Linked DNA regions of Schizosaccharomyces pombe. Changing the gene in region 3 together with the main gene of any one other region gives a genetic interaction. Each region holds a gene or a part of one and is shown on either strand. Other genes may lie near its edges. The genes, in order: prp38, hbs1, arg3 and pof9.

The links.
Region 1: mutations in arg3 (region 3) and prp38 together harm fitness more than expected from each alone (negative genetic interaction), as found in Schizosaccharomyces pombe (one large-scale study listed by BioGRID).
Region 2: mutations in arg3 (region 3) and hbs1 together harm fitness more than expected from each alone (negative genetic interaction), as found in Schizosaccharomyces pombe (one large-scale study listed by BioGRID).
Region 4: mutations in arg3 (region 3) and pof9 together harm fitness more than expected from each alone (negative genetic interaction), as found in Schizosaccharomyces pombe (one large-scale study listed by BioGRID).

The regions. Positions count from the first base shown.
Region 1 is NC_003423.3:1,686,958-1,693,855, reverse strand, and holds prp38 (U4/U5/U6 small nuclear ribonucleoprotein complex subunit PRP38), read right to left. Parts: upstream 3,719-6,898; 5' UTR 3,709-3,718; coding exon 3,567-3,708; exon of another isoform or gene 3,369-3,566; coding exon 2,878-3,368; 3' UTR 2,633-2,877; downstream 1-2,632. Other genes in the region: transcription factor Sre1, read right to left, coding at 1-2,028; fructose-bisphosphate aldolase Fba1, read right to left, coding at 4,413-5,489; protein mug124, read left to right, coding at 6,651-6,898. UniProt on the Schizosaccharomyces pombe protein: Required for pre-mRNA splicing and maintenance of stable U6 small nuclear RNA levels. Implicated in the formation of stable and biologically active snRNP structures.
Region 2 is NC_003423.3:2,590,327-2,598,596, reverse strand, and holds hbs1 (translation release factor complex GTPase subunit), read right to left. Parts: upstream 4,253-8,270; 5' UTR 4,134-4,252; coding exon 4,094-4,133; exon of another isoform or gene 4,040-4,093; coding exon 3,986-4,039; exon of another isoform or gene 3,943-3,985; coding exon 2,258-3,942; 3' UTR 2,173-2,257; downstream 1-2,172. Other genes in the region: M-factor transmembrane transporter Mam1, read left to right, coding at 1-2,172; DNA-directed RNA polymerase III complex subunit Rpc25, read left to right, coding at 5,427-5,634, 5,751-5,837, 5,889-6,157, 6,292-6,339; hmt2 (sulfide-quinone oxidoreductase), read left to right, coding at 8,118-8,270.
Region 3 is NC_003424.3:2,269,822-2,277,594, reverse strand, and holds arg3 (ornithine carbamoyltransferase Arg3), read right to left. Parts: upstream 3,675-7,773; 5' UTR 3,584-3,674; coding exon 2,600-3,583; 3' UTR 2,079-2,599; downstream 1-2,078. Other genes in the region: idn1 (gluconokinase), read right to left, coding at 1-396; cmb1 (cytosine-mismatch-binding protein 1), read left to right, coding at 1,418-2,017; arg11 (N-acetyl-gamma-glutamyl-phosphate reductase/acetylglutamate kinase), read left to right, coding at 4,919-7,576. UniProt on the Schizosaccharomyces pombe protein: Ornithine carbamoyltransferase involved in the synthesis of arginine from glutamate via ornithine and the urea cycle.
Region 4 is NC_003423.3:1,866,640-1,874,208, reverse strand, and holds pof9 (F-box protein Pof9), read right to left. Parts: upstream 2,377-7,569; 5' UTR 2,363-2,376; coding exon 1,998-2,362; exon of another isoform or gene 1,928-1,997; coding exon 889-1,927; downstream 1-888. Other genes in the region: phosphoserine phosphatase Ser2, read right to left, coding at 2,908-3,006, 3,078-3,875; SPOM_SPBC3H7.08C (uncharacterized protein), read right to left, coding at 4,366-4,607, 4,768-4,819, 4,889-4,957; palmitoyltransferase Erf2, read left to right, coding at 6,760-7,569.

The DNA.
Region 1 (6,898 bases), on a different chromosome or scaffold from region 3:
AGAGTCACGGGTGCACTTTGCTAGAACCCACAATCGCTCAACCATATTCGGAGAGAAAACGTCGTCAGCGTGGGAGTTTTCAATTAGGTTAGCAGTACACTCAGGAAGCTCACGTAACTCCGCGTGTACAGAACTTTTGCTATGTTGTTTCTTTGCAGCATTCCAGAAGAAAGCAACGCACTTCGAAACGATAGCGGATGGGACAGAGGTGTTGGAAAAAATTAGTTGGCAATACATTGCTTGTAAAGCACAAGTATGACTTGAAGGAGGAAGAGAAAATGAACTGGCAAATACCATTAAGAGCCTCAAACGGTCAACTTTAGCATCACCACCCATTAATTGGGCATCCAAAAGCTTTTCCATGTTGCGAACTTCAGCAAGTTGTTGCTCACTATAAACCCAATTCTCAGAGGAGGTATAAAGAGCACTCAAACGATGAGTCAAATAGCCATAAGCAGATTTAAGAGTGAAGATCAGTAATCCAAAAAATAGAGAAATAGTCGAAGTAGAATGGTCCAATAAACAATACTTTTCGAATACGGTTTTTCGGAATAAGATTGAGGATGGTGACATGGAAGATCTGGTACTAACTTTAGATTTCTTTTCACCCTTGAAGCCTTTGAAAAGAGAGTTATCGTGCAAAAGATAGAATAAACCGAGTAAAACAACACCAATTTTCAGCATGTTAAAGAGAACAGTACCTGTGAATGGAGACATAAGAAAAGGTGGAAGAGCGAATAAACCATAAACAGATTGAGAAGAATCGTTTCCAAAATAATTGAATAGACCAAGTCCAACCATGCCATTTAGTGCTGTGCGGCCCATGGTATTTAGGGTTGGGGAAGTAAAAGCTCTTTGGGTTAGGTTTGGTCGAGAAGATTGGTGAACAGAATAGTCAGATGAGGAAACAACATTAACAGAGTTAACGGCTCGAGTATCGTTAGAAGGAGGAGCCATCGAAGGATCTTCGTAGAAAGCCAGCCTATCTGAAAGCTGCTTGTTAGTCTTCTGTAGTTCCTTATTCTTGGCCTCCAAATGTCTGATATACTCAGTTGCTTTTGCCAATATTGTACCCTTGTTAAGCTTACGAGCGGGTGTCAAACCCCCCAAATCCTCATCGTCCAGAGAATTACCACAACGAAGTGCAGCAGCAGCACGAAGTGAAGGAACTGCATCACGCAATTCACAAATTCGGTCGTTCAAGTTGGTTCTGTATCTCTTCTCAATCATGTTATGAGCTGTCTTCTTTGGTTTTCCTCCAGGACCGGCTACAAAATCTGGGGTTTCAGAAGGAGATAATGAGCCTCTAGACTTGGGGGCCGAAAAAGGTAATGTTTCAGGAATTGAGCAAGAATCTTCCGAGGAAGGAGACAACTTTATTTTCTTGGCAGAAGGTTCAGGCTTGCAAGTGGTGTCCATGGGTGTAATAATTTCTTCGGTTTTCAATTTGACTTCTGGATTTGACATATCAGCTGAAGGATAATTTTGAACAGTCGATGGATCGATTGTATCAACAGAGTGAAGGATTTTCATTTGGCGCTGAATTTTATCATCGGCATCGAACTCATTCAATGATGGGCCGGTAAAGGTCTCATTCTGAAATGAATTTGGAGAGCCGCAATTAGAGAGAAGAGGATTTGTAGAGTTTTCTAACGAGTTAGGGGAGCCCATGTTGGTCGAAGTAAACAGAGGAGGCGCCGAGTTCATCGTATTGTCGAACGCAAAAGGGTTAAGCCAATTGCTCATTGATGACTCCATATCAGAAAGGGAAAACGAATGGGGAGACAACGAGGTGTTGGTCAAGGTTGGAGGTGAGTCCTCGACAATGCTAGCCAAATCACACAACAGATTGGAACAATTCTCCACAAAGGGAGTAGAAGTTGAAGCCTTTGTCGATGAAGCCAAAGGGGATGAAGAAGGAATCGCACCCACTGAATTGGGTGATTTGCTGTCAGGCGAAGCTTTTGTTGGAGTTTCCATTGCAGGAGAAGCGACCGACACGGAAACTGACGGAATTGAGCTTTGCATATTTAACAAAATTTCCAGCTAGAACCAAGCGGAATTTAACAGCGAGTTAAAAAATCCAACAATAAAGAGAAATTGAATTTAACTCTTAGGGTTTTTTATCTCTGTGACTGTATAGGATGTTGAGCGAATTTTCTAATCGAGCTACAAATTATCCAAAATTTGACGCATTAAAAGCTATCCAAGGCGATAGATAGCAAAATAATTTCTTGAATGAGTTGTAAAATAAAATAATGTTCTTAGCAAGAAGGAAATCCAGCTTGATAATCGTTTAAGATTAGGTTATAGCAAGAGTCGAGCGCAGTAAACAAACTCTCAGCAACAACCCAATTGTTGTCAATGAACTTATAAAGGCTACTGGACGTCCTATAAGTAAAAAAATTTAAAATCGATCACCCGATAAGCAAAGTTAGGATTGCTCGAGTATGGTAATGGATGAAAGAGAAAAGTCGTGTTAATTCATATGTGAGCAAAAAAGAAGTGGACTGACATGTTTTTAACGAAACGTAAGAAAATAGACGGAATGGGGTGATTCGTTAAAGTATGGTGTGAAAAAAATTCCGTGGCGTATCAAAGACATTTTATAAATATTTAGTGTGCTGTAAACTAAGTCTATCGAAATTTGTTTACAAGAAAAAATAGCGTATTTGCGATAATATGTGAAATCGATATATATTAATATACAAATCTATTTGATTAGATGTTTGTTATTCATAAATTGTTTTTTAATAAGTTCAAGTGTAAAACCATTTCAATCCATAACTTTTCCTTGTAGAGTCATTCCAAGTTAAATCGTAGACGCATCACAAAATGCGTGCTTCGCTTTACTCTTTTTTTGTATATTACTTATCCTTAAATATTCCGATCTACAGCACCTTCATTGCTCTCCAATTTACTAATTTGTTCTTCATCATCATCTTCTTCGTCTGAAGAAGATGAAAGTGGTTCAAGCAAGTCCAAATCTTCAAGTTGGAGTCGACTTCGCAATGGGGGCAGGGAAATATCGCAAACTACTTCGGCATTTAGCAAATCATCAACAACCTCATCCAGATATGTTAATCGGATCTCAGAATTAGTACGAATTCTTAATTTCCGATAATCTCTTAACAGCGGTTCCAACGTTTGATGCACTTCCACATCATCCCATGTAAGCCGAACGTAAAATGCAGCCAGGGCACGTAAATACTTGAATTCAGGAATAGATAGGTACTGTTGAATTATTTCTTTTTCAGGTGCAATTTGTAAAAGCTTGTATAACAAACAGATAAACTCGGTGGGCCGTTGATTTCCATACTGACCACCTATATATTCAAGCCGTACTGCACGATCCACCAATGAACAAGCTAAGATGTATTAGTCAGTGAATTTGGAATAACAGTTTGAGGACTGATTAAAACAGCAAGTACCTATACTTGGTTTCTTTGCTTGCCAAATCAAGTTCATTTAGGCTATATCACTCAAAATATCGATTTGGAAAGTAATCGTACTTGAACTCTAATATGTAAAAACACTTTCCTTTTCTGTCAATGAAGAACACATACCATTCAATCCAAAACATTGTTCTTTCCAGTAAATAGAATCTACTATGCGTTCTCTCAAGATTTTTCCTATAAGGAAAGTCGGCAGCATTTCATGCGCCGCCTCACCTTGAGAGCGATAATCTCTAGCAAGAAAATCAGCCATAGTACCTCATGAAGAGAATGATTGCTCCAACCTTGATGTCTTGACTTGGAGTAAGCTTTTAAGGAGCAGTAGTGTACTGACAATATAAGTGGTCAAGTCTGAAGAAGCATGCTGAGTTTTGATTGAGAAAGGGTTATCTAAAAAAAACATGGATTCGTGAAATATGGAGGAAAAGGGAAAATGCCCGTACTCATTGCAATGAAAGAAGAAAAAGTTGATCTACTAAACAATGCACACTGTGTACACAAAGCACATGAAATTCAAGCGATTATGTTGTTTTAAGCTACTCATCGAGATTTGCCAAACGATATATATTAAATTCAAATAAACGCACGGACATATTATTTATTCATTCATTGTCATGTGGAATCGGAAATTTTTTTTTTGTAAATTTATATACCTAAGAACACATTAACCAATTAAGGAAGATGAATAAAAGGATAAAAAGAAAAATCTTAACAATATACAGTATGCTTGAAAAACACTTTACAAATCCAATCCAAAAAAATTTCTTAACTTACTTTGCCCTACTTTACTTCAAATATCTCTTATGCTTTTACAATGGTAATTTTAAAAAACAATGTCTCTATATTCAAACACGTAATTTCAAAACAGTATGAACTCTCATTAAGGGGACAAAAAAATATAATTTTAATGAAGCCCACCGTCTATTCAATCATTTCCATCTTTCAAAAACCACAAATTTAGAGAGTGTTGACAGTGTAGAAGTCCTCAAGAGCGGTAAGAACACGCTTGGTCATGGTCTTCTCACCCTCATGGATCCAGACACGAGGGTCGAACTTCTTCTTGTTGGGCTTGTCAGCTCCCTCGGGGTTACCGACGGGGGTCATAAGGTAGTCCTTGTACTTCAAGACATAGTCACGGACACCCTCGACGTAGGCGAATTGGGTATCAGTGTCAATGTTGACCTTGACGACACCGCACTTGATACCAGTACGGAACTCGTTGACAGAGGAACCGGAACCACCGTGGAAGACGAAGAAAACGGGCTTGTCGTTGGTGGTCTTGAGTTGCTCCTTAACATAGGCTTGGTGTTGACCCAAAAGAGCGGGTTGGAGCTTGACGTTACCGGGCTTGTAGACACCGTGGACGTTACCGAAAGCGGCGGCAATGGAGAAGTAAGGGGTAACGGAGGAGAGCTCACGGTAGACATCCCAGATGTCCTCGGGTTGAGTGTAGAGCTCGGTGTGGGAGACGTGAGAGTTGTCGACACCGTCTTCCTCACCACCAGTGATACCGATCTCCATCTCGATCCAGATCTTCATGGGAACGGCACGCTTGCAGTACTCCTTAACTTGAGCAATGTTCTCCTTCTTGGGCTCCTCGGACAAGTCAAGCATGTGAGAAGAGAAAAGAGGCTCACCGTGAATCTTGAAGTAGGCCTCATCGGCTTCGAACATACCGTCCATCCAGGGGAGAAGCTTCTTGGCGCAGTGGTCAGAGTGCATGACGACGGGGACACCGAAGAAAGGAGCGATGGAACGGATGTAGTGGGCAGCGGCGATGGAACCGGCAATGGAGGCCTTTTGGCCCTCGTTGGAGGATTCCTTACCAGCAAAGAAGTGAGCACCACCGTTGGAGGTTTGCAAGATGATGGGGGAACGAGCCTCACGAGCAGCCTCAAGAGCAGCAATAGCAGTGGAGGAGGAGGTGACGTTAATGGCAGGGATGGCGAATCCGTGCTCACGAGCGTAGGTGAACAACTTTAAAACGTTGTCACCTGTAATAACACCAGTAGGTACAATATCGAGAATTCCCATTTTGCTAATTTGTGTGTGTGTTCTATACGACCTTTGGAAGTATGATACTGCAACAGTAGCGCGCAACCCTCTATTATATACCATGGAGCCGGAGTTGGCCTCGGAAAAACTTCTCACCTGATGTGCATATCGATACCTATCCGGTCCGTGGTTACCACCAATCACCGTCCCCTGTTTTAGGGGTTGACGTCAAAAGAAGTTTTTGATTTCTTCCATTTACCATCCCCAATCCCCCCGATAGCGCTCTGCATCGAAGTACGCAATTCCGTTCAAGAACCGTAACACGTTGCGTGGTGTGTGTCAAGGCAAAAGGAAGCGGCGGCGGCGGTAACCAACTCGTTCACCCGATGCACAAACACAAACAAAAGAAACATTACCAACGTAAACATAAATACAAACCTAAGCATTAAACATTTATAAATACAAACATCTAACCTGCCCTATACTATTCATATGTCTATTTCATTTCTATTCATTTCTTTTCATTAATTTCATTTCATCTCCTCTTGTCTTGTCTCGTCTCGTCTCGCTTCTCCATTCTCCCAGCCATCCCTACTTCCCAGTTTGAGTGATGGATTTTTCTACTCAACCAACTTGAACCAGCCAACTAAACTAATGCATTTCTTTTGTTATCACAGTCTGGCCGTCTCGGTTCGGTTCGATGGTGTTGTGCCCACACACCCCATCTGCATCTTCGGTAGTATTCTTATTTTATAGTTGTCGCCTGGGTCAAATGATCAAGAAATGCAAGGCAATTCTTCTTCCAAGCATGCTTGAATTAGCTTTACCATCAATGTAAGAATAGACACTTTGCACCGCATTTCATCACTGTCTTTACACAAGCAGGTATGTGAAATGAAAAGTATTTTTGGACATATACAAAGTGCACAACTAAGTAGCTCTCTCACGTATTGATGATTTTCCATGCGTCCGACCGGCATTCGTTTACGGGAGTATGAATTTCGTAAGTGGTTTGATTGATTGAATGCTTTATCATTTTTTGGTTATCTAGTACCACTTGTGTTTCGCTTGGCCACGAGTAATATTAGTCCAGCAATGAGGTGAGAGAAGAGATCATCGTTTGTGTACATAACAAGAGGAAGAAACATTGATAAAAAGGAATTGAGAGAGTGGAAGAGGATGAGACTTGACTAGAAGAGTATGAGACTGCAGTCACTGTCAAGTGTTGCTATTGCTGAGACTAGGAGACAAATCATTCTTACTATTATTAACTCTCTTGTTTACTTGGTAAATTTCATTTCATGTCCATCCATTCATTCCATTCCATTCCACATCTCCACCCATCTCACATCATGTCAAGCTAATATTTCTCTGCTCAAAATCGTTGGTCTGCATTGTCCATTCCATCGTCGTGGCATTGCATCTCTGAGTGTATGTGTGGCATTGCA
Region 2 (8,270 bases), on a different chromosome or scaffold from region 3:
CGAGCTCATCGCAAGGGAAAAACTACATTAGTAATTACTCACGATATGTCTCAAATTAACAACGATGAATTGGTTTTGGTGATAGATAAGGGTCATTTAATACAGAGATGCGCTAGGAAGGAATTGGTGTTGTTTGAGGATTTTGAAAACAATGTATCAATCGATGAAAAGGTTTTGAAGGAAGAAGCTGATAATCCGTTTATTTTACCAAATGAGGAATCACTGCTTGAAAAGTATTGGATTAATTACAATGAAAGTTTTTCGCAGTTATCCAGAGAGTCATTATTCACCAGTTTAGAATCTCCATTCACCGATATAGAATCTCCTACAATTGTGTCGCGAAGAAAAATTGTTGAGCAAAGGAAGTTGCGTATGGAAAAAGAATCCTTTCAAGAAACGAATGTAGACCAAACTTTCCATTTATTTGATGACAAAGAGCATGCATGTTCGTTAACATTAATCTTTAAGAGTATTTGGAAAGTCAAAAAGCTAAGGTGGTTTTTTCTTCTTGGTTTGCTCACGTCTTTGATACAAGGTGCTAGTGTTCCTATATTTGCTTACGTTATTTCAAAGTGCTTAAATTTGTTTATGCAAATTGATCCATCGATTGGAGTAGCATTTTGGTCTTCAATGGTTTTGGTCGTTGCTGCTGGATCGGGGGCTTCCTATTTTTTTAGTCATTATATTTTTTCAATATCTGCTAAAATTTGGTGTGATCACTACCGGTTATTAGCTGTTAAAGTACTTTTCACTCAGGATCAAGCTTGGTTCGATCAAATCGAAAATTATCCACTCGTGTTATCTAAAATACTTGTTAACAATATCAGTGATATGCGAAACATGATTAGTTCTCTCATTGAGGAGGTTTTTATTGCATTTACTATGGCGATTATTGGAATAGCATGGTCTTTCGCAACTGGCTGGAGATTGGCTGCTGTACTGGTTGCAGTAAGCCCAATTTTATGTCTGACTTCCAGAATGTTTTCATATATATATGTCAGCACTGAGCGGATGTGTCAAGATGTTGTAATATCGACTACCTCTATCCTTCATAAAACGATCGTCAATTTGGATACAATTAAAGGATATTCGGTGCTATCTTTTTTTCGAGAAAATCATAAAAATTCTTTGCGCAAAAGCTGGGAAGCTTTCAAAAGGCGAGCCTTTTGGACTAGTCTTGGGTTTGCTATTAACAACTCTCTTTTGTATTTTGTCAGAGCTCTTCTCTTTTATTGTTCTTCCATATTTATATCCAAAGAATTTTATACTGTTGAACAAATGGTCCAGGTGCTGTCTTTGGCTACTTTTACATTGTTGATGGCTTCTACTTGCATCATGTCTTTGCCCAATGTATCAGCTAGCCGAATCGCGACTAGTAGAGTTCTGAAACTCAGTTCATTGAAGCCAGGAAATCTTCATAAAAGTGGATATCTAAAATTTCCTCTTGTAGGAAAAATAGAATTCGATGGAGTATCGTTTGCATACCCAGACTCCGAGCGTAACCACTTAGCGCTGAATAATGTATCATTGTCTATTGAAGCTAGAGAAAAGGTTGCAATTGTTGGAATTTCTGGATCTGGAAAATCTACTTTGGTAGAACTATTGAGAAAGACTTACCCTTCAGAGGATATTTACATTGATGGGTATCCGCTAACTAACATCGATACTAATTGGTTGCTTAAAAAGGTTGCCATTGTAGATCAAAAACCTCATCTTCTAGGTTCTACAATTTTGGAGAGTTTGCTATATGGTGTTGACAGAGATATTAATTCTGTTATGGATGCACTTGACAAAACTTACATGACTGAGGTAATACAAAACCTTCCTAACGGCTTAGATACTCCTTTGCTTGAATTTAGCAAAAATTTTTCCGGTGGTCAGATCCAACGCCTTGCGTTTGCAAGAGCTCTTCTACGGAACCCCAGACTTTTAATATTGGATGAATGTACGTCTGCTTTAGATAGCAAGTCAAGCCTTCTTCTAGAAAAAACAATTCAAAACTTGAGTTGTACAGTTTTGATAATTACACACCAACCCTCATTAATGAAATTGGCAGACAGGATCATTGTAATGGATTCTGGAATTGTCAAGGAATCTGGCAGTTTCGATGAACTAATGAATCGACATACACATTTTTGGAAATTAATACACCGCGGTGAATGGATTGAGTGATGATGAATTTTAAGTTAATAATTTATTTAATGAAATAATAATAGTATTCTGTCTAATAGTTTTGAAGTGCATAATTTCATCGACTTTAACATAATTCTTTAACAATGCCAGCAGCTACCGTATCACCACTTCTTCTTAGAATAAATCTTCCCAAAGCAGGGCATTCTTCTGCTAGACATAAAGGAAATAATCCATCCAAAAAACTTATACGAACTAATGCGCGCTTCCTGCTTGCTATATGCCTCGAACGTTTATTGTTAACTGTAACAATTTTTAAAGATACCGAAGTCACAGTCCTACCTAAATGAAGGACAAGGGTAGAACCTGATAAAATTGGACCGTGAATATCAAATGTCTGGATTTCAGCAACAAATGATCTTACCCTACGAACAGGATTTTCATAGTTTGATAGTATATCCCCAGGACGAAGTTGATTAACTTCAATGTCAGCCAACTGTAATGTAACTGTATCACCAGCAACAGCCCAAGTCGAAGAAGGATCACTATTACGAATCACATTTTTTACATATGCGTCTTCCTGAGAAGAAACATCATACAAAACTTGATTGACCTGAACATTACCTGCTTCGACCCTCCCGGTAACTGTAACACTACGTGGAGAACGATAAACATCATCGATACTTAGTCTCAACGGTTTCCGATATGGCTTTTCAGGGGGAACCAGCTGATCTAAGGCGCTCAAAAGAGTGGGACCCTTATACCATTTGTAAAGATCAGATGAGTCTTTTTGGATAAGGTTAGTTCCCGAAATCGCAGATATAGGTACAAAATGTACATTACTGGTTTTAAATCCAACCATTTTGATCAAAAAATCAGAAACTATGTTTTTTATTTCTTGGAAACGGTCCTCCGACCAAGACATAAGGTCCAATTTGTTGACACTAACAACTATTTCCGAGATTCCAAGGGCTCGCAACAGATAGGCGTGCTCCCTTGTTTGTCCATTTTCCAAAAAACCACGCTCAAAATTGTTTTGAGAGGAGTCGACAACTAACACAGCAAAATCAGCTGAAGATGCGCCGGCTATCATCCCTGAAATGAAATCCCGGTGACCTGGCGCATCACCAATTTCATAAATTTTTTTATCACTCTCGAAAGTGGTGGAAGCAACATCCATTGTAACACCTCGTGCTCGTTCTTCCTCGGTTGTATCCAACAACCAAGCATACGAAAAGCTACCTTTTCCTGAATTGGCAGCCTCGTTGTGCAACTTTTGCATTGACCGACTATTGATTTCTCCTAACTCAAACATTATTCTCCCAAGCATAGTACTCTTTCCCGAATCAACATGTCCTGTAACAACTAAGTGAACCACGGGTTTAGGATTGGATTGTTCAAATATTTCGGGAACAGATACTAGATCCGTCGGGTTTTGCTTTTTAATTTTCTTTTTCTCCGGTTGGTTATCGCTTTCGGAGGAATTTTTCATCTTTACTTCACCGTTCGTCTGAAATGCTGGTTCATCATTTTTGTTTAGGCTTAAATTTTTAATACCATTAGAAGATTCATCCAATGGATCTTTGGCATCCGCTAAAGCTTCTTTCGATTTGTTCTGTTTTTTTTCTTTTTGGGAATCAGTATTCTGTTTTTCTTTAGCTCCAGCTTTGGAACTAGCCTTTTGCAAAAGATAGTTGACTGATTTCTCTACGTCAAAGTAATAGTACCAAACTGTATCGGCAATTTCTTTTTCTGAAATAGGAACACCTAATAATGTCTCCCTTACTGTGGCTACAGCAGACCTGAATTCCTCTAGATATTGTTCGTTAATATTTTTAAGAAATCATTTACTAACCTTCCTGCTCTTCAGTCAATTCTTCCTCTCCTGGCTCCTCGTCGAGTTCATAATCTAGAAAGACGTTAAAAAAAAATACAAACTATTACAATATCAAATGGTACGAACCATCAAGATCAAGATTTTTTACATCACGATGCCTCGACATATTTTGAATTTGTTATTTTTGCCAAAAGTCAGAAACCAATAAATACTTCTTGTTTTAAAAAAAATGGTTTCTATTGATAAATAATAAATATATGTATAATATTTAAGTTGGCATTTGACACTTTGCTCTAGAGTAAATTCTTGGAAATATTCATACATCATCAGCAGCTTTAGCGAATTTTAGCAATGTCGCTATACTGAATTGAGTGCTGCAACAAGAGTTGTTAAAAATTCTCAACTGTAACAACTGAGTGTTTTAGGGTGGATGCCTTTTATTAAGCCGGACCGGACCCATTCTATTCATTATATAGTAAATTTCTCTCATTGTCTTCAAATGTTTTATGAACTATTGAATTCGGATGAGTAAGAGTAGGGAAAACATAAGTCTGTTTGTAGTGTCAAGTATCAAAAGTTGTTAAACATTAAATTCAAAAATTTTGGCGTTCATGTAACAAAATGAAATATTTAACTTTTTAATGACTAAAAAATGATTTACTTAAGTTTTCTAAACTATGCCAATATTAAAGTTAACAGAATCGTCAAATTTTCAGGAAATTTTAGTATGCCATACTCTCGTTAGATATGTTTGCAGCAATATTTAATTAATTATTTTCCTTTTTTTTATCTTTAAATACTGCTCATAGATATTAACAAAAAATGTTTATTTACAAATATGCTAGAATTTGTAAATAGAAAAAAAAGCTAAAATAGCTAATAATTTTAAAAAATTATTTAGTAGTTCGATTTTCAAAGAATTCTTTCATTAATTATTTGTTTTTACTTCTTAACTGCTCATGAGCATGTATATCGACAGAACACTCAACAATCTTGTTATATTCATCCTTTTAACTATTTAAAATTTATATTAATTCTGTAATAAATTTGTATGTTTGAATAAGCGATTGAAACTTCTACTCATTATAATTTTTCAATTGTAAACAATATTTCATGGATTTGTCTTAAAGCTACTGCGCTAAAACTTCACTGGCCTCGCTAAGTCGTTTAACACGCTTTTCATTAGATCGTTAACTCGCCATGAATGGTCTGGTATGCAACATAATCTTCGTATTCATATTTTTACGCGACCTGGCAAAGAAAGCTGGGCTTGCAGTTAAATTACTTTTTTGAAAGGTTCCTTTTGATTTATGCAAAGTTGTTGACCAAAAGGTTAAGAAATATTTTTAAATTGGATTGTGATCCACTGTTGTATTTCTAATTATTTATCGTTCTATTCAAGTTAAAGATTTTTTCTACAAGGTGGTAAAAACTACGAGTAATAGCCGTTTTATTATTTATGTTTCTCTTGAGTCGGTTTTCAGACATTATAAGCATCCATCCATCCAATTTTTGGAAGCCTACAAAGGAAGCACTGGCTGAAGAAATCCATAAAAAGTATGCTAACAAAGTGATACAAAACATTGGACTGGCTATTTGCGTTTATGATTTTTTGAAAATTGGGGAAGGAATAATTAAATACGGAGATGGCTCTTCATACATGAATGGTAAGTATAAGTCTGCTCACTTTATTTCATATGCCAATTCGCATTATCAATACGAAAGGCTGTCAGGATAGTGATTCAGTGGAAAAGAAAAACTTAAATGGTTCTAATTAGATTAGTGGTTTTCCGCCTTATAATCTTTCGTCCTTTTCGAGGTGAAGTAATGCTGGGAAAAATAAAATCGTGCAGTGAAGAAGGTATTCGGGGTATGTTAAATGTGTTTGTTTAAATGCTTGTTGTTAATGTTTTTCTCCCAGTAACTATTAGCTTTTTTGACGATATTTTCATTCCGAAAGATATGCTTTTCGATCCATGTGTCTTTCGTCCGGATGAGCGTGCCTGGGTATGGAAAATTGAAGGGGAGGACGGCTCAGAGGGAACCGAATTGTATTTTGACATTGATGAAGAAATACGCTTTCAAATAGAATCTGAGGACTTTGTTGATATTTCACCTAAGAGGAATAAAAATGCAACCGCGATTACAGGCACAGAAGCATTGGAATCGGTATCCCCATATACATTGATTGTAAGTTTTTTTTTTTATGTTTAGGGCGAAACTTGTGTCATTATTTATGAAGGGTGCACCATCTATTTGCTAGTATACAAGAAAATATTTTCTGCTTCTCTCAAATCGATAGAATTTACTAACTATATATTTAGGCTTCCTGTTCTCGTGATGGACTGGGCATTCCTGCTTGGTGGAAATGAGCTATTGGATTCGAATCAAAGTCAAACAAAATTTAAAAGCATCAATTAATCATTTACTCCAAATTGTATAAGTAGACTTTCATTCATGTTCTATTTTTCTTCATCTAATGCATCACCAAAATTTCCCAAAAATCACGTGGTCTAGAAAATGGTTGCAATTCTATTCTGTACATTCATCCCGTCTTATAAATTTCATTGCCGAAGGTTTTTGCACAAACCTTTTGGGGTTTTATTATTTCGTTGGAGATACCTGTGTTGTTTTTAGACATGTCCTACTTAAAGGTTGCTTTTAGTGAAAAAGGGTTATTTATAAATCAACTACTTCTTTTTTTTTTTTTTTTTTTAGCTTTTCTCTATTTAAAGGTATATTATTGTATCGAAAAATCAGTTTGTTTACATCTTTGCACAGCAACACATAATGGTTATGAAAACGGCGTTCTTCAAAATTTACCTTCTTGGATGATCATGGTATTTGCTAACAGGGGGCTACTTTAATAAAGGTACTTTCATGTCAAGCTTAAATTTAATCTGGTTAAAAGAGTCATATGTTCTAAAACTTTATATTCAATCTAACAACTGAAGATTCCGCACTGCGTAAAGGAATTTTTCAATGTTAAACAAACGATCCATGCTATGTATGATTTGATTGATTTTGGTATTGTGTATACTAATGTTTAGTAGTATTACCGAATATGGAAAATTTAATTAATTACACAAAAGAGCCGATTCATTTTATAGCATAATAGAATATCAGTCTACTTTTTATGAACAATGTTTGCTTCTTCAGCAAAGAATGTCCATCGCCAACCCACGTTACTCTTTAGTACAGCCGATTTTCGTTATATGTCAGAAAATAGCAACCTTAACATTTCAGCGCCTTGCTATTTGCTATTTGAAAATGACCAACAGCAATTTGACAAACTTCTAATTTTGTTGTATTTGTGCACAAATGCATGGACGTTATAAAGGATTCTTTCGGCTACTGTACTACTTTAGGGATAAACGAATATTTTTGCAAAATTAAAAATACACATACCCACAAAATCATTCACTTTCTTACTTCTAGTACTATTATTAATTTACGGAAACATGCATTAAGCAGCTTTTATGAGTTCCTTAAGCCTCGATAGCTTTTGCTTTACAAACTTTAATGAAACTTAGCAAATCCACGTGATTTGCCCCTAAAATGAATAAAGTTATGCCACATATTTCGGAATCACAAGCAAAGCGCAAGCACTTGACAAAATTGCGTAACCGATTACGCCTTCGGAGCTGACGTGAGTTATCGACTGAATATAAACACCTTATGCTGCTAATTCTGATTAGTCGACTGTATTTGCAAATATTTTCTACATAGGCTTGTCTTCCGTTAATTCTATTTTGTACACTACACCATTCTTTTTAGACGACAGCCGGTAGACTAAATTGTGCTTGTTTCTTGAACAATTAAAGTACATTGAAGAGTGCATATAAAAGAAATAAAAAATTTTTTTTTTTCTTTTACTTCGCTTGAGTCAAAACAGACTAGCACTTATTCTAGTACACTTGAAAGGTGGTGCTTGTTTGACTACATTCTTTGATATTGTAATCAAAAATTTTTTTTTTAAAAATTCCTTTTCTCCTGATTTACTTATTGAGGTGTTAAATTCTTGAAATTTTAAACGCGTTTTTTCCGCTCAACCTCTGTTTTCTTGTGTTTTATTAGGCTACTTTTTGCCTCCTTTTTTTTTCCTTTACCTTTAAAAAAACACTTCTCTTTTGCATTTTTGCAACTAAAAATGTTGACCTTAAACTCAACAATCAAGTCGGTCACCGGCTCATTTCAGTCCGCTTCCATGTTGGCTCGATTCGCCTCTACCCATCACAAGGTTTTAGTAGTTGGTGGTGGATCCGCTGGTATATCCGTCGCCCATCAAATTTACAACAAGTTT
Region 3 (7,773 bases):
TCTTTTAATAAGTGTTTCTCTCGAAGCGGCTAAATAAATAAAGCGCAAAATTGCAGGACGATGCTCCAAAGAGCTACGAAGGATATCACGGTAACTACGCTTTAAGGCCGAGCAGGTTAACACAACTCCCTTTATCGATTCCTTGTCAAGTTCCATGGCACAAGCACCTCCGCAGTTATGCAACCAACCCCAACGATCGTTATCATTCAAAGGATGGCCTTGACTCATTTTTTCAATGTTTGCTTTGGGGTGTAGATCATCACCCTCAATATACTCAAAACCCAATTTCTCAGATACCGCCTTAGCCATCGTCGTTTTTCCTGAACCGGCAGGGCCGATGACTACAAATACATATTTGTATGGCTGATTAGTAGGATTAATGGGAGTAACAGTCATAGTTATCGAATTATTTGTGAGGATTTCAAAGTTTGGGTACAATCACAAAATCACACGTTGGTGGTAATCGAACGAGATGTTTTAAACAAGCTTTGTCAAAATGGCGCTAAAAGGCTCCTTTCTCGGACAAAGCGATGCAAATTTACTGGAAAACAGCCAACTTTTCAAAGGTACTATAGTTTGTGGTAAGCGGCAAGAAATACCGAAAAAATGCAGACACTTACGACTTGGTTAAACACAGCCAAGAAAAGTTAATACACACTAGATGTTATTAAAAACAAACAAATACCCGGGGGCTTCTCGTCCCTTTAATACAAATTTTGTAGCTGTAGAAAGGAACTTTAAATTAGGCCGACAGCCTTAAAACTAAGTTGGATTGACGTTTAGAAATCGGGGTATAGAGGGGCTCTAGAACTAATGAGATTGAAGCAACGTATACCCCATCTCTTCAGTAACCCAAGATGCCAATATGACAAAAGAAGAACCGGGGCATGTTATTTCGGTTTATTAAATTAAAATAACGTGCTGAAAGAATACACTGTAATGAATAGTGAATAGCAACGATTCCACTGAAACATTTTTATACTAAATACACAGCTACAATATAGTCTATGGTGAGTAATGAATATGAGAGTGCTGGGAGGTACGGTATATAAGGAAGGTTGGAAAAAGTATAGAAATGAGTGCTGTTTTGTTGCTCAAGAGATGAAGATGCGTTTGTTTCCTTTTCATTTTGGAGTACCTTTTTGATTCTGTGGACCAACGCTTTGTTATGTTGAATGTCGAAGTGTTTCACTTAGAAAAAGAAACTACCTTTGTGGTTACAAGAAACAAACAAACTGCTTTTAACGCCTTTATTCTATGCTATTAAAAATTGAGTAAACCGTCTTTTTACTACTCATTTGTCTGTTGTACAATATTACGTACCCGATATTTACTCAGTACTTGAATGCGTCTGTTTGACGCAATGCCTCCTTACCTAACTTACCAAGCACCATTATCTTTGATCATTTTTCACAAAATGGTATTTGCAATTAGAATACGCCAGTTTCACACTACTCTCGTTTCTGCCGAAAAGAATGGATTACAGAAGTTGATCCCCCCTAGGCTGAAAACCATTTGGAATCAAATGTTGGTTGAAACAAAAGGTGCTGGTAATGGTCCTGAGCGCTTTGAGATGATTCGTCAAAAATACAAAGCTTTGACTGCCGATGAGATCCAAAAGTATAAAAACAAACTCCAGGAGCAGTTCGATGCTGAGAAAAAGCGTTTTATGGAGACTCTACGATCCTTTACACCTACAGAAATCGATAGTGAAAATCGTCGTCGCTCGAAGGAGGCTCACAGCACGGGCAGTCGCTATTACAGACTTCGTCATCCAGATGTTCCTAAAAAACCTTCTTCTGCTTTTATCCTCTTTTACAAGGAGCTTCGAAACAATCCCAAGCTACGTCAAGAGTTAGGTATTCCAGAAGCCATTTCCACACTCGTTGAAGAGACCCAAAATGCATCAAAGGCGTGGAAGGAATTGGCGGAAGACAAGAAAAAGCCATTTATTGATAAAAGCAAAGCACTTAAAGAGCAATACGATAAGTTTATGAAAGAAGCCGGATTTCGATGATGCACACTCTACTTGCCCAGATCTTTTTTTTCTATAGATTTCTTGAATCAATGAGTTTACGTTTTATTTTACTAGCATACATGCTTGAAATATAATAAATTTCGATGCCTACACTAAGTTTTCTTTCTGTCGTAGATTCCGCATTGACGAAAGCTTTATTGTCCCAAAGCTTTTTCCTTATGAGTGTTGCGCTTATTTGTAGTTTCTATTAATTTTAAATTGTATTTTGCATATAATAGTGCTTAATACTATGATTGCTTGATACCTTGAAATATCTAGTTAAGAGGATAGCATTAAGCGGGTAATAATTTTACACAAAGCTTGTTGGACTAATGAGCCAAATTGATCCATCCCCTTTTTTAACGTATAAGTACGTCTTTAGAAGCCTGTGTCCTGCGCATAAAAAATCTGAAAAGTAATTGTCAATTAAAAAATTTTCTCAAAAGTCAATTTTCTTTTTGTGAAACAAAGTACATAAAATTTCAAAAATGAATATCACAATTTGCACGCCCAATAAAAAAAATTATAAAGTTGGCATTGTTTGCACATTCCCCAGATAAAAATGAAATTAAGGATTTCAGTTTAGGCTGAGGCAGGAGGAAGAATTTCACCACGGTTGACAAGCAAAGCCTCCAAGACAGCAACAGTGGTCCATTTGCGGTTCTCTGCTTCTTGGAAAACTAAACTGTTCTCTCCATAAAATACCTCGTCAGACACTTCCTCGGGATGACGGGGTAAACAATGCATGAATTTGCAGCTAGGTTTGGCAAGCTTCATGATCTCTCCGGTGACTTGGAATCCTGTAAATTGTTTAAGACGTTGTTCCTTCTCAGCTTCTTGACCCATAGAAATCCAAGTGTCGGTAACGACGATATCAGCATTTTTAACAGCAACCTTGGGGTCGTTAACAATTTCAAAAGTAGAACCGTTTTCGTTCGCAGCTTCGTTAACGATTGATAAAATATCGTCGCGAACGTTGACGTCCTTGGGCTTAGCAACGCTAGTATGAATACCAACCTTGGCATTTGCAATCATCAAATCATGTAAAACGTTATTGGCATCACCTACCCATGCAACTTTTAAACCGTCAAAGCTTTTGAAAGTTTCCTTAATAGTGAGTAAATCTGCTAACGCCTGGAGAGGATGAAACGTGTCACAAAGACCATTAATAACAGGACAAGAGGCATGTTTAGCGAGCGTAGCAACATCTGAATATTTGTTTACGCGAGCAACAATACCAGAAACCATACTTGATATAACTTTTGAAGTATCGTATAAAGACTCATTCACTCCTAATTGGATATCATCTTTACCTAAAAACATGGCATTGCCGCCAAGGCAACTGACAGCACTTTCGACTGATACACGAGTACGAGTGCTACGCTTACTGAAGATCATGGCGACATTCTGAGACGACAAACCACTCATTTGAACAGAACGGCGATTCTGAAAATTCTGCTTATAAGCTTGTTTAATTTCAGAAGACCGATCGATCAACTTTACAATCTCTCCGCGACTAAGATCACGAATGGATAGTAAATGACGAGGAAATTTTTTGAAAGACATTTTCAATTGCAAACTGAATAATTCTTCTCGACTAAATATATCAAAAATACGGTTTTTGTAGTCGACTACAAGGAACCCACAAGTTACTGGTAATTTCTTAGATATTCAGGGTGAGATTGCATATAGCCGATATCTAGTTCTCTCTCAGACTGCGAGATTGGCGCCGTAATATATCGTATGCGGATTTTCGACGAGATGGAAAATTTTTACATTATCGTACACTAGAGTTCAGTTGCAAACAAGCTAGTACGTTGATGAAATATGATAAAACAAGTCAAAAATTAAAAACTACTCATAAACATTCTATTTCCTTTCTTTTTCTTATGTTATTCATGGTAATATTGATACAGAACGTCAGAATACTTATCAGCAATAGCTTTTAAATACCAAAATCGTTAATTGATTAGCAGTAAAAGAATATTCATGGGTTTAGCATTTAATTATAGAACTAATGAAAAGGGATGAATTTTTTTCGACCTTGTAATATTTTTTTTATTTACCACCCATTCTTTAAAGAACCAATACATTGTAAATAAAATGTATCTAAAAAACGTGTAGTTATTTTTTTTGTTTATTCAATTATCTCTTGACACTATATTCAAGCGAGCTGAAATAAAACCAATTGTGTTACTATATTGATAACTCAGCATGCTTGTGAAATCAACAACTACCATGAAATGAACAATGAGTTCACAGATTCGCTATATTACAAGCTTACACTTACAGTATTGCATAAAGCGAAACAAGTTTTAACGAAAGAGAAGGGCTTCTTGCCAAATTTTTTTTTTTTTTTTTTTTTTTTTTTTTTTTAACGAGATTATCTTAGATAATAAATTTTATGATAAGTGCTTTTGTCTCATCAGGGTCATTGGGACTATTCAACGCGAAATCAAATAGAAAACAAAATATTGTTTCAAAAGAATGCTTTCATGTATAAATCAAGATATTGAACTGGCTTGCATAGAAATAATGAATATTGTACTGTGTCAGTTAGGACTAGTATTAAATAATGTATATACAAATAGATTCATTGTCGGCAAATGAGTTGCTTTTACAGTGTCATTTATATAGCTTTAATTCATTAAATGTCCATGTCTCACGTTTGCAGCACTTTCATGTAAACTGTTGGTTTCCGATGTAATTTTCAGCCAACAAGTAACATTATCGATCTCATCTTTTTGAGTGATTATCTCCAGAGCAAATCCCTAGATACAGCAATCAAATTTTAACGAATTATAGCTACGTTTACGAAGCAAATGATTTTCCAATTTTGAAACCAACCAAACTGCCTTCTACCAACTACAGTAAATCATAGAATATCACTAGAATTTGGCAATGCTTATTGAATTGCAACAAATTGTCAAGTCCGGTCTTGTACGGAATGGAGCGAAACACTGTACGAAAAGGAGCTTACTATGTTCCAATGCATCAGTCATTGCAAGCAAACGTTTTCAAGGCAGTTTTGCCCCGGGTCAACAACAACCGTTAAACCCACTCGCGAAACCAATTGAACAAGATCGTGATGCCATCATTAGAATTCTTTCCTCCATCGGAAGCCGTCGTGAAGTTGAGCAATACCTACGATACTTTACTTCCTTCGAAGCTCAACGTTTCGCTATTATCAAGGTTGGTGGTGCCATTATCACCGACGAATTAGACACATTGGCACAAAGTCTTGCCTTTTTGAATCATGTGGGTCTTTATCCCATCGTTGTGCATGGCGCTGGTCCCCAATTAAACAAAATTCTTGCCAGCAGAAATGTTGAACCCGAGTATAGCGATGGTATTCGAATCACCGATGCCGAGACTCTTTCTGTAGCTCGTAAAGTTTTCTTAGAGGAAAATGCGAAACTTGTAGATGCTTTGGAAAAGTTGGGAACTCGTGCTCGTCCCATTACAGGTGGTGTATTTCAGGCAGAGTATCTCGACAAAGAAAAATACAAGTATGTTGGCAAGATTGTCAAGGTAAACAAAGCTCCTATTGAACACAGTATTCGTGCTGGAACCCTCCCTATTCTTACGTCTATGGCCGAAACTGCTTCTGGTCAATTGTTGAATGTCAACGCCGACATTACTGCTGGTGAGCTTGCTCGCGTATTGAAGCCTCTAAAGGTGGTCTATCTCAATGAAAAAGGTGGACTTATCAACGGTGAAACAAAGAAAAAAATTAGCAGCATCTATTTGGATAGGGAGTACGATGGCCTCATGAAGCAACCATGGGTCAAGTATGGTACGAAGCTCAAAATCAAAGAAATCAAAGAGTTACTTGATACTCTTCCCCGTACATCTTCCGTAGCCATTATTAGTACGAAGGATTTGCAAAAAGAGCTTTTTACGGAATCTGGCGCTGGTACTTTGATTAGTCGCGGTTTTGTCATCAACAAACATGACTCGTTGGATAGCATTCCAGACGCTGCTCTAGAAAATTTGATCATTCAAAAAAATTCTTTAGCCGCACCTAGTGAAAGCTTGAAACAGTTCAAGGATACTCTGAAAGACAGAAAACTTCGTATTTATAGTGACTCTTTCAATGAATCTGTTGCTATTGTCGACACCACCGACTCATCCTTGCCAGTACTCTTAGCTTTTGGTGCCGCCGACAATAATTGGTTAAACAATGTTGTTGATAGCATATTAACAACATTAAAAGCAGACTTCCCTTCTTTGCTATGGCGTCTTCAACCTTCAGCCAAGAATCTGGAATGGTTCTTCTCTAAAAGCGAAGGTACTTTGTTTGCTAATAATTTTTACTACTTTTGGTACGGTGTAAAAGATTTGAATAAAATCTCCAAGTTCATTCAGTCTGACAAGCCATTTGCCGATGCTATCATTCAGACCCAATCCACTAAACCCCCTACTGCTTCATCTACCACCAACAACCCTTCCTCTTCACAGATCAATCAAAAACGAAGTTACTCAACTAGTTCTTTATTTTCAAAAAACAAAAAAATGAATCGTTCTTTGTTTTTAAAGGGTGGAAAACGATTTTTTTCTGCTGAGGCTCAGAAGACCCAAAAACCTTTGAAGGCGGTCTCATCGAAGCCAGCAAAAGTCGTTCTCCTTGGAGCCCGTGGTTATACCGGAAAGAACTTGATTGGATTGATTAACACTCATCCTTATCTCGAATTATCTCATGTTTCTTCTCGTGAGTTGGAAGGCACCAAACTTCCTGGCTACACTAAGAAAGAAATTCAGTATGTCAACTTGTCCACAGATGATGTTAAAAAATTAGAGGAAGAGGGAGCGGTTGATGCTTGGGTCATGGCCCTACCCAACGGTGTATGCAAACCTTATGTCGATGCTTTAACGTCTGCAAATGGTAAAAGTGTCATTGTTGATTTAAGTGCGGACTACCGTTTTGAGCCCTCGTGGCAGTACGGTCTTCCTGAACTAAATGACCGTGAAGCTTTGCGTAACTCGAAACGTATTTCCAATCCTGGTTGTTACGCTACTGGATCGCAAGTCGGTTTAACTCCCATACTCTCTTTGATTGACGGCCAGCCCTCTATTTTTGGTGTATCTGGTTATTCTGGGGCTGGCACTAAGCCCTCTCCGAAGAATGACTTGAATGTATTGACAAACAATTTGATACCTTACTCATTAACTGATCACATCCATGAACGTGAAATTTCTTATCGTTTAAAGCAACCTGTCGCCTTTATTCCTCACGTTGCTCAATGGTTCCAAGGAATTACTTTAACTATTAATGTTCCGTTAAAGAAAAGTATAACTTCCCGTGAGCTTCGTAACTTATACCAAGACCGTTATAATGGTGAGCCTTTAATTCATGTTCAAGGAGATGTACCTTTGGTCAAGGACAACGCACACAAGCATCATGTTTCAGTTGGTGGTTTTGGTGTGCACTCTTCTGGAAAGCGTGCAGTCATTGTAGTTACTATCGACAATTTACTTAAAGGTGCTGCTACTCAAGCTCTCCAGAATCTCAATCTGTCCTGTGGTTACGATGAATATGCCGGTATCCATTTGGATTGATTATATTTTTTGTAGCCCATTCTTTTGTTATTTTTATTCTTTCTGTGTACCATTTGGATATTTTTTTGTTACAAATATTTTGAACTAAATGCATTAATCCTTGCTATTAAATAGCCAGCAGTAAGTCGCGTACGAGTACCATCTTAAGTTTCCACACATTTTAATTTAGTTCTTGTTCAGTTATACAAAATTCCTCT
Region 4 (7,569 bases), on a different chromosome or scaffold from region 3:
CAGTCAACCGACAAAAATATGAAAAAAAGACAATAATGATAAAAGAAAATGACAAAATGCTTATTGAAAGAAACAAAGAACAACGATGATGATGATGATGATGATGAAGGCAAAGAAAAAAAAGTGTTATAATATAGTTGTTAACAAAAATAAATCAGACACTGTGGAATTACAAATAAATCAGTAATACTTGCTAATTGCATGAAAAGGAAAATAGCATCCCGTAATCTTCAATTGCCCTTCAATCAATCCACGATTTTTTAAATCTGGAAATTTTCGCACAACAGATTTCAGGTACAAGGTAGTCAACCCAACAAGAAAAAATCGTCTCTTAAGATCGATTTCTGCCTGAAAATACCGGTTTTCTCGACACCTGGATCTGTAAACAAAACCCCCAAGTTAGGGTCGCCAGAAAAAAATGGGGTGGTTAGGAATATTACAAACCACCAACGCAAACGACAAATAGAGAGCAAGAGCCCAACAAATTTTGACCACCGAGGATTTAATATGAAAATCGGTAACCTTCCTTACAGTCCAAATCAATTAAAAAAAATAATAATGTTTGGTAAAAACTCGTCGTAGTAGCACAGTAACTTAATTCACAGGGGTCAGGAATATAAATTGGTCAATGTGTGTACTTTATGTAATTGCGATACAGGAAGAAGGAAAAAAAATTTTCTCACTTATTTAATCACCGTTGTGTTTTCCTTGTGCTGCTTTTTTTTATAATTGGCTTACCTAGAGGAATTAGTAAAAATAGAGATAAATTCGGAAGTCCGAGGTGGCCGAGATATTTATTTATTTCACTTACTTAGCGGACAAAATAAAATCCTTCTCTAGTGCGCACGCGGAAATTAGCTTACCAAGCAAAGTTGATCACTATTTCACCTAGCCGTCCCTTTCCAAAGTCCGAGTCGCAGGGGCAGCTAAAAAGCGCAACGCTGGAACTCTGGATGGTCGGATGATAGAAAAAGTTGTAATTGGAGGCACATTGACTTCGGGTAAAACAGATTCCGAAATGGCGAGAGCAGCACTTTGCCATCCGCCGGCTGCAACTGAATAGCAAGTTCCTGAAAAGTGAATTTGATGTGGAATGGAAACGATGTTGCGTGCGGTGCGTGGATCAGAAACAATGCTGGGATCAGATGTCTGTTCTTGCAAATGAAGAGAACCCAAACCTAAACACCCACAATAACGTAATTCAACACCCCACGACCATATGGAATGATCGCTTGTTAAGTAAAGATGATGATGATCGCCATGCGCCAATTGCTTAATTCCTCGGTTCTGGAGAAAGTCGTGGATAACCGGGTCATCATCGACCTGCTTGGTATTAGCATGACCCATGTAAACAGTATTGCCATCGTCCGATAAACATGTGAAAGTTTCAAAGCTGCCTGCTAAATGCCAACCTTGATGGGGGTCGTGCGAAGCGAACCTCTTCAATTCTCTTCCTAGCGTGTGTTGTGTAGCTTGGTCCAGGTCTAAACGAAACACGGCGCCTTTTTTCTGAGGTGATGCGACAGTATACACTAGGAATCCTGCGCAGTGAACATAATCGTTCAGCACGAATTCCTTCATCGATGCCTCTGGCTGGAAAAGTTGCGCTTCACTTTCTCGTCCAGTGTGCCAGACAAGAAAGCCAATGCCCGGCACATACGCCGAATGCGAGTCCCAACCTGATTTAAAATTAGCAATTCTTCCGCGATAGGCTGATAGCATATTTTGTTCATCTGTCAAGCAAATTCGTGTTTTTAGAGATACTTGATACAAGTGTCCCGTCTCACCGAGTGCAAGACAAAACTCTCGACCAGCATGGATTTTCACAATTGGCTCTAAATCTCTCATCAATTCGGGCCCAACATTGTTTGGTACCCCCGTAACATATAAATTTCCGTTTTCATTTAATAAATACATCCCATAACCTCTAAATTCCGCATAGGGAATAGTTAGTCATTGTAGTGCAGTCAAATAAATTCCTGTATCTATGCGCTTACCCAACTTGAACCTGAATAGTAGAACGAACGTCCTTCCCAGTCAATGCACCAGGACGATCTCGAGGATACTGATTTGTATTGACGACGCGGCCCAAATAGTTTCTTATCTGTTGCCCCCATGAGTAAGCGTATCCTCGGTCTTTCCATACAGCATAGGGTCTTTTGTAATTATCATCAACAACTGGGACTACATTGGTGAGACCTTGGACCCGTGCACAAAATCGATGCCAAATTGTTTTGTCGTCAAAAACATACGAAAGTGACTTGCATGTTTCTGACAAATGAACTATATCTTTATAATCAAGATATGTACTAATTTCTAGCAATATATCGTAAGAAAGCTCCAGGAATGGTGATTTAGCCATAATGAATCTCGCATGGGTAGTAGTATATGAATACCTCTGAATATATACAAGGGAAACGGTGTTGAAATACGTCAAAAGCACATGTTTTCTGCAACTCTTAATAACTAGATACAATTGTATTATTTACAATTAATAAATGATAATAAAGAAAGGTCTATGAAACGAAGGTGTAGTCATTGCACGAATCAATTTCAAAGTCTATCAGCATAACGAAGCAGATTTAAGAGTAAATGATCGGCTTTATAAAAACCAATTGAGTAATTCTTGTCTGTTTTAAAGAAGAAAGCTTCTGAACTGCCCCTTTTTTTTTAAGCATTCATTGCACACCCTTTCCAATGAAGCATTGATCATACCAAAATTGTAAATTAAGGAAAAAGAAAAATAAGAGTATCAAAAATAAAGAAGTAGGGTATATAAAAGACGGCTCCTACTACAGAAAAAAAGACCACGCGCACAAGTAAAATATTGCTTTATAAAAACCAAGCCACAGTAGCTCAGAGTTCTTGACAGCGCCTTGCGATTGAAAAATTCTTGGAAATTCTAAATTAATTTTTGTTTTCCAATAGCTTTTTTTGTTGTTGCTCATCAATACCCAAGAGGTAAAGAGCGTTTTGCAAAGATGGAAGATTGATTTTCGAATCAGCCTAATTAAAAAAAAAAATCGAGTTAGTAAGATCATTAAAAACATAAATTTGTAAAAAAATTTCGAACATACCAATAATTGAACTTTGGGTTTAGCTTTGAACGCAATTCCTAAACCGGATTCGGCCATCATGACCAAATCGTTAGCTCCGTCCCCAACAGCCATCGTTTCGAGCTTATTTAAACCCAACTCTTCCCTCTTTTCACGCAAAATGGAAGCTTTTCGTTGTCCATCTACAATTGCACCTTGAACTTTTCCAGTGAGGAATTTACCATCATCGGAAAATTCAAGTACATTGGCATATGCATAGTCCAAGTCCAGTTGTCCCTTGACATATTCAGCCATTGGAACAAATCCACCACTAGCGACAACAAGAGTCGCACCCATTTGCTTAAGGCAATGACAAAGCTGTTTAGCTCCTGGAGTGAAAGTAATTTTGCCAATGACTTTATTTATGACATCGACGCTCAACCCTTGTAGTAGAGAAACGCGACGACGAAGTGATTCTTGAAAGTCAATTTCCCCATTCATTGCAAGAGATGTAATCGTAGCAACCTCTTTCTGGATGCCTGCTTCTGCCGCGAGCTCGTCAATACACTCTTGTTGAATCAACGTCGAGTCCATGTCAAATACTACAAGCTTCTTTTTAGTGGAAAATGTTGCTTCACTCAAGCAATTACAGTCTACATTCTCAGTAGCAGAAATGCGGTTACAAGCGTCTTTAGCATCTTCAAACGTTCCTTTAAGTTGGCCTGATACTAAAGTCCACTGTTCCCCCAGAGAACGAGTCTTCCCATCTCTAAACAAGGAGGAAATCTGTTCAAGCACATTTGGACGATTTGAGGAAACAACTATGGCTGCGTTGACCATGCTTATTAAAAGGTATGAGTGGGTTTGCTAAATTTTCTAAGTTGAAAAGCGTTGTTTTCGGCAAGTCCCATTTACTAATTACTCGGCTATTGATTAAGCTTAACGTTAAACGACAACAAGTACTAGGTCAATTTAAGTTATTTGAAAATCTCAAACAAGCTTATTTTTTGTTATTGTTTACAAATTTATCATTATCTTCAAAATGCTGTATAAATTGTGAAGTTGGTAAAGTGGTGCCTAAACTCCGTTTTCAAACACAGGTTAATAAGCAAATATTTTTTTTATACATTAAAGCAATAAAGCAAGAAATCATAACTAAGAAGATGTTTGGAAATATTGCAATATATCAGGGCAAATATTCCAAAAATGAGAGCCTACCATAAAGTAGAGAGTGAGATATTTGTAAAGTGAAAAAGCACTAAAAAAATATTTGGCAATGTAATAATTGTTCTCTTTCATTCCTAAAAGGTTATACACAATTTAATGTGCTTTACTTAGAGAATCGCTCAAGTACCTCTTCTGATACACCTTTAACGGGAAAAGTGCTGTATTGAATAGCAGAAGGTGCCTTTCGAGGTTCTTTACTCCTATCTCCTCGAGGATAATACTTGTAGCTATAATCAAGACTCTCATCACTTTTTCCGCTACTGCTTTTGGTGTCTTCCCAGGGGTGAGCATTTTTTGAAGGAATTCGGACTTGATCTTCATGTTGTACCAACAAGCCCCGCTGTCCTAAAAAACTGTTAGCTACAATCATTTAATTTAAACAATCATATGTAAATGCGCTTGTAAAATAAATATTCTGTAGGAAAATTTTAACAGAATATTAAAATTGAGTATAATGTTTCATTAACTGCGCTGATTTCTAATTTTCTACTAATTTTTAACATACCAAGCATATAACCAGCAACTCCAAAGGTATAAGTCATGACACACCAAGTTATCTAACAGCAAACTGATCAGCTTACGAAATAATCAACTCAATATATTTTTCAAAAAAAAATTGAGCTTACAAATAGTTCTGGATATTCTCTTGACCAGCGAACCAGGCGGTTCGACATAATTGAGCGCATAATTGACATGATGGTTCCAAAAATAAAAAGTTCTTGTTCGCTTGAATAGTTTGATTAATTGTTTCGAGATGGAAAGGATCTAAAATCCTTTTATGATTGTAAATGTCAAAATGAAATACGTAGGCGAACATTCGCAACATTTATGACAAGCATCAATATTTATGGGGATCGCCACCTGACGCAGACAAGACGTAGCAACGGTGCGCATTAAGAGATTCAAATTTGAATGGATAATAATATCATAATAATCACCAACTCCTTCTACTAAAGTGGTGAAAGAAGCAACTTTCCAATATTTCTAGATTTTCCAGCGTTTGCAATCGGGATCGAACCGCCCTTGTATTTATATTGCTTTATACAGTTTTATAATACTTTTCAGATACTACCTCTACCCTTGTATTATACTATAGAATTTGTTAGGACACTTATTTACTAAACTTTTCCTAAGATTATATTTGTAAATAATAAGAAGAGAACACTAAAAAACTTCGCAAACAAATAAAAATGGTTCGTACCATTATAAATAAATATAGTCATTTTTCAAAATTTAGCTGCCATGAGGTTAGTAACTTAATAGTAGTTGCTGACCGCAAATGTTTCTCCAGTAAAGTAGGTCCAATGTACAAGTACGTTTAAAAGCGTCATTGAGATTTTCTAAGGAATAAGAATTTAATTCATTTCCCTTTAAAACAGGAAATAAAACCAAAGGACCGCTTGGAGTCATGCATATTGAGGAATAACAATCTAATTCGATAATCTTGTGAACTACATTTCCACTAAATACAGTGAATGAAGCCAGGATGGTTTTTCTTAGATGTAGATTAGTAATAATTTTTCTTCAAAATTTCATCCATAACTGACCATATACCGTGTTTCTTGAGTTATTTGTTTACAAGCCATAGAGGTTATTGGGTTATTTCGGGGCTAGTGAAAGTATAGAGATGATCCTTTAAATTAGCCCTTTCATTAATAGCTTCGCGATAATCATAATTTCAATAGTTGCAACACTCTAATAAACTTTTAAGATCTTTTTTCGTTGCTTCCGTACCTTCATTTCTAATATTTTCTCAATTACACCCTCCCATTATTTTCCTGCTAGTTATTTAGCCATTTTAAAAAAAAAAAAAAAAAAAAAAAACATAATACACAAGATGAAAATGGTTTACTAGCTAGTCTACTTCCCATGATATTGGTCTTTTATCTTAGTCTTTGGAGTCTTTATCGAGTCATATATTACTAATTTTTCCATATATTATCCACTTTCTTTACAAACCCGAAATTGCACGGATAGTATAATTTATTAAACTTGATTTTTCTAACTTTGAGCCCTGAATTGTTGTACTGACAGGATGTTCCAATTACAGTATCGATGAAATATATTTAAATAAAAAGTTTGAAAAATATAAATACTAATATATTGGCACTCTTAAATAATTTTTTTTACATTTTATTCGTAAAAAAAAAATAAGTACTTTATTTATTATTATTAATTTTATTTCTTCGGTTAGTATTTTTTTTTTTAGCATTTCATTTCATATTCTGTTTTTATTTCCCTTCTCTTTTTAATACACTCTCATCGATTAAATAGGCGCCATTCCAAATATTAGTTATTAGAGTCACATTCTCTAATTGTTTATTTATTTTGATTTCTTTATTTGCTTAGTAAACAAACTTTGGCGGATGCTAATATTTACTTCACCCTCCATCGCAAAAGGGGTTCATATCCTTACCGACAACAAAACTACAAGATATAATACCAGGTGTAAAAATAGCTGTTTCTTTGCCATGTTTGTTGTTTAGAGAATATAATCATGAGCTATGAGAAACACAGTGATGCTAAGGCATCCCGCTACGCGTGGAATCAGCCATGGAATCCATTTGAGGTGACTTTGTCTGATCCAACGTATCCCATGAATTTGGAAGAAAAGAACCAAATTCCTTATAGATTTCAATCCGTTCCTGATGATGTTCCGGAAGTACCGCATATTGAAAGCCGATATAAGAATTTACCAGGAAACAATATCTATTTATGTTGTGGTCGATTGCAAATGTCATCTCAGTACAAAGCTTTCCTCATTAGCTTGTTTGCCTTGATTCTTCCAGGAGTCCTTTTCTTCATCTTTTCTGCTTTTTGGCTCTGGCATCATGTCTCTCCCGCTGTCCCTATTACCTTTGCTTACCTGTATGCCTTAGCCGTTGTTTCCATGTTCAAGTGCTCGACTGCTGATCCAGGAATTCTTCCTAGAAATGCATATTCTTTAACTTATAACCCTGCCCATCCCTGGTCTGTAATTCCTGAAGACCGTAAAGTCCTTGTTGGATCCACTCGGTCTGACTCTGTCTTTGTTAATACAGTTTATTGCCATACGTGCCACTTATATCGTCCTCCACGTGCAAGCCATTGTCATTTATGTGATAATTGTGTTGAATACCTTGATCATCACTGCATTTGGTTAAACACTTGCATTGGTCGTCGAAACTACAGATATTATTTTATTTTTTTGTTATCTGTCGTTCTTTCAGCTTTGTATCTAACTGGATTGGGGTTCTATACTTCTATAGGAAGTTTTCATGAATCCACAGATACAAATTTTGCGGCGCATCTTCGTCGTCCATGGGCT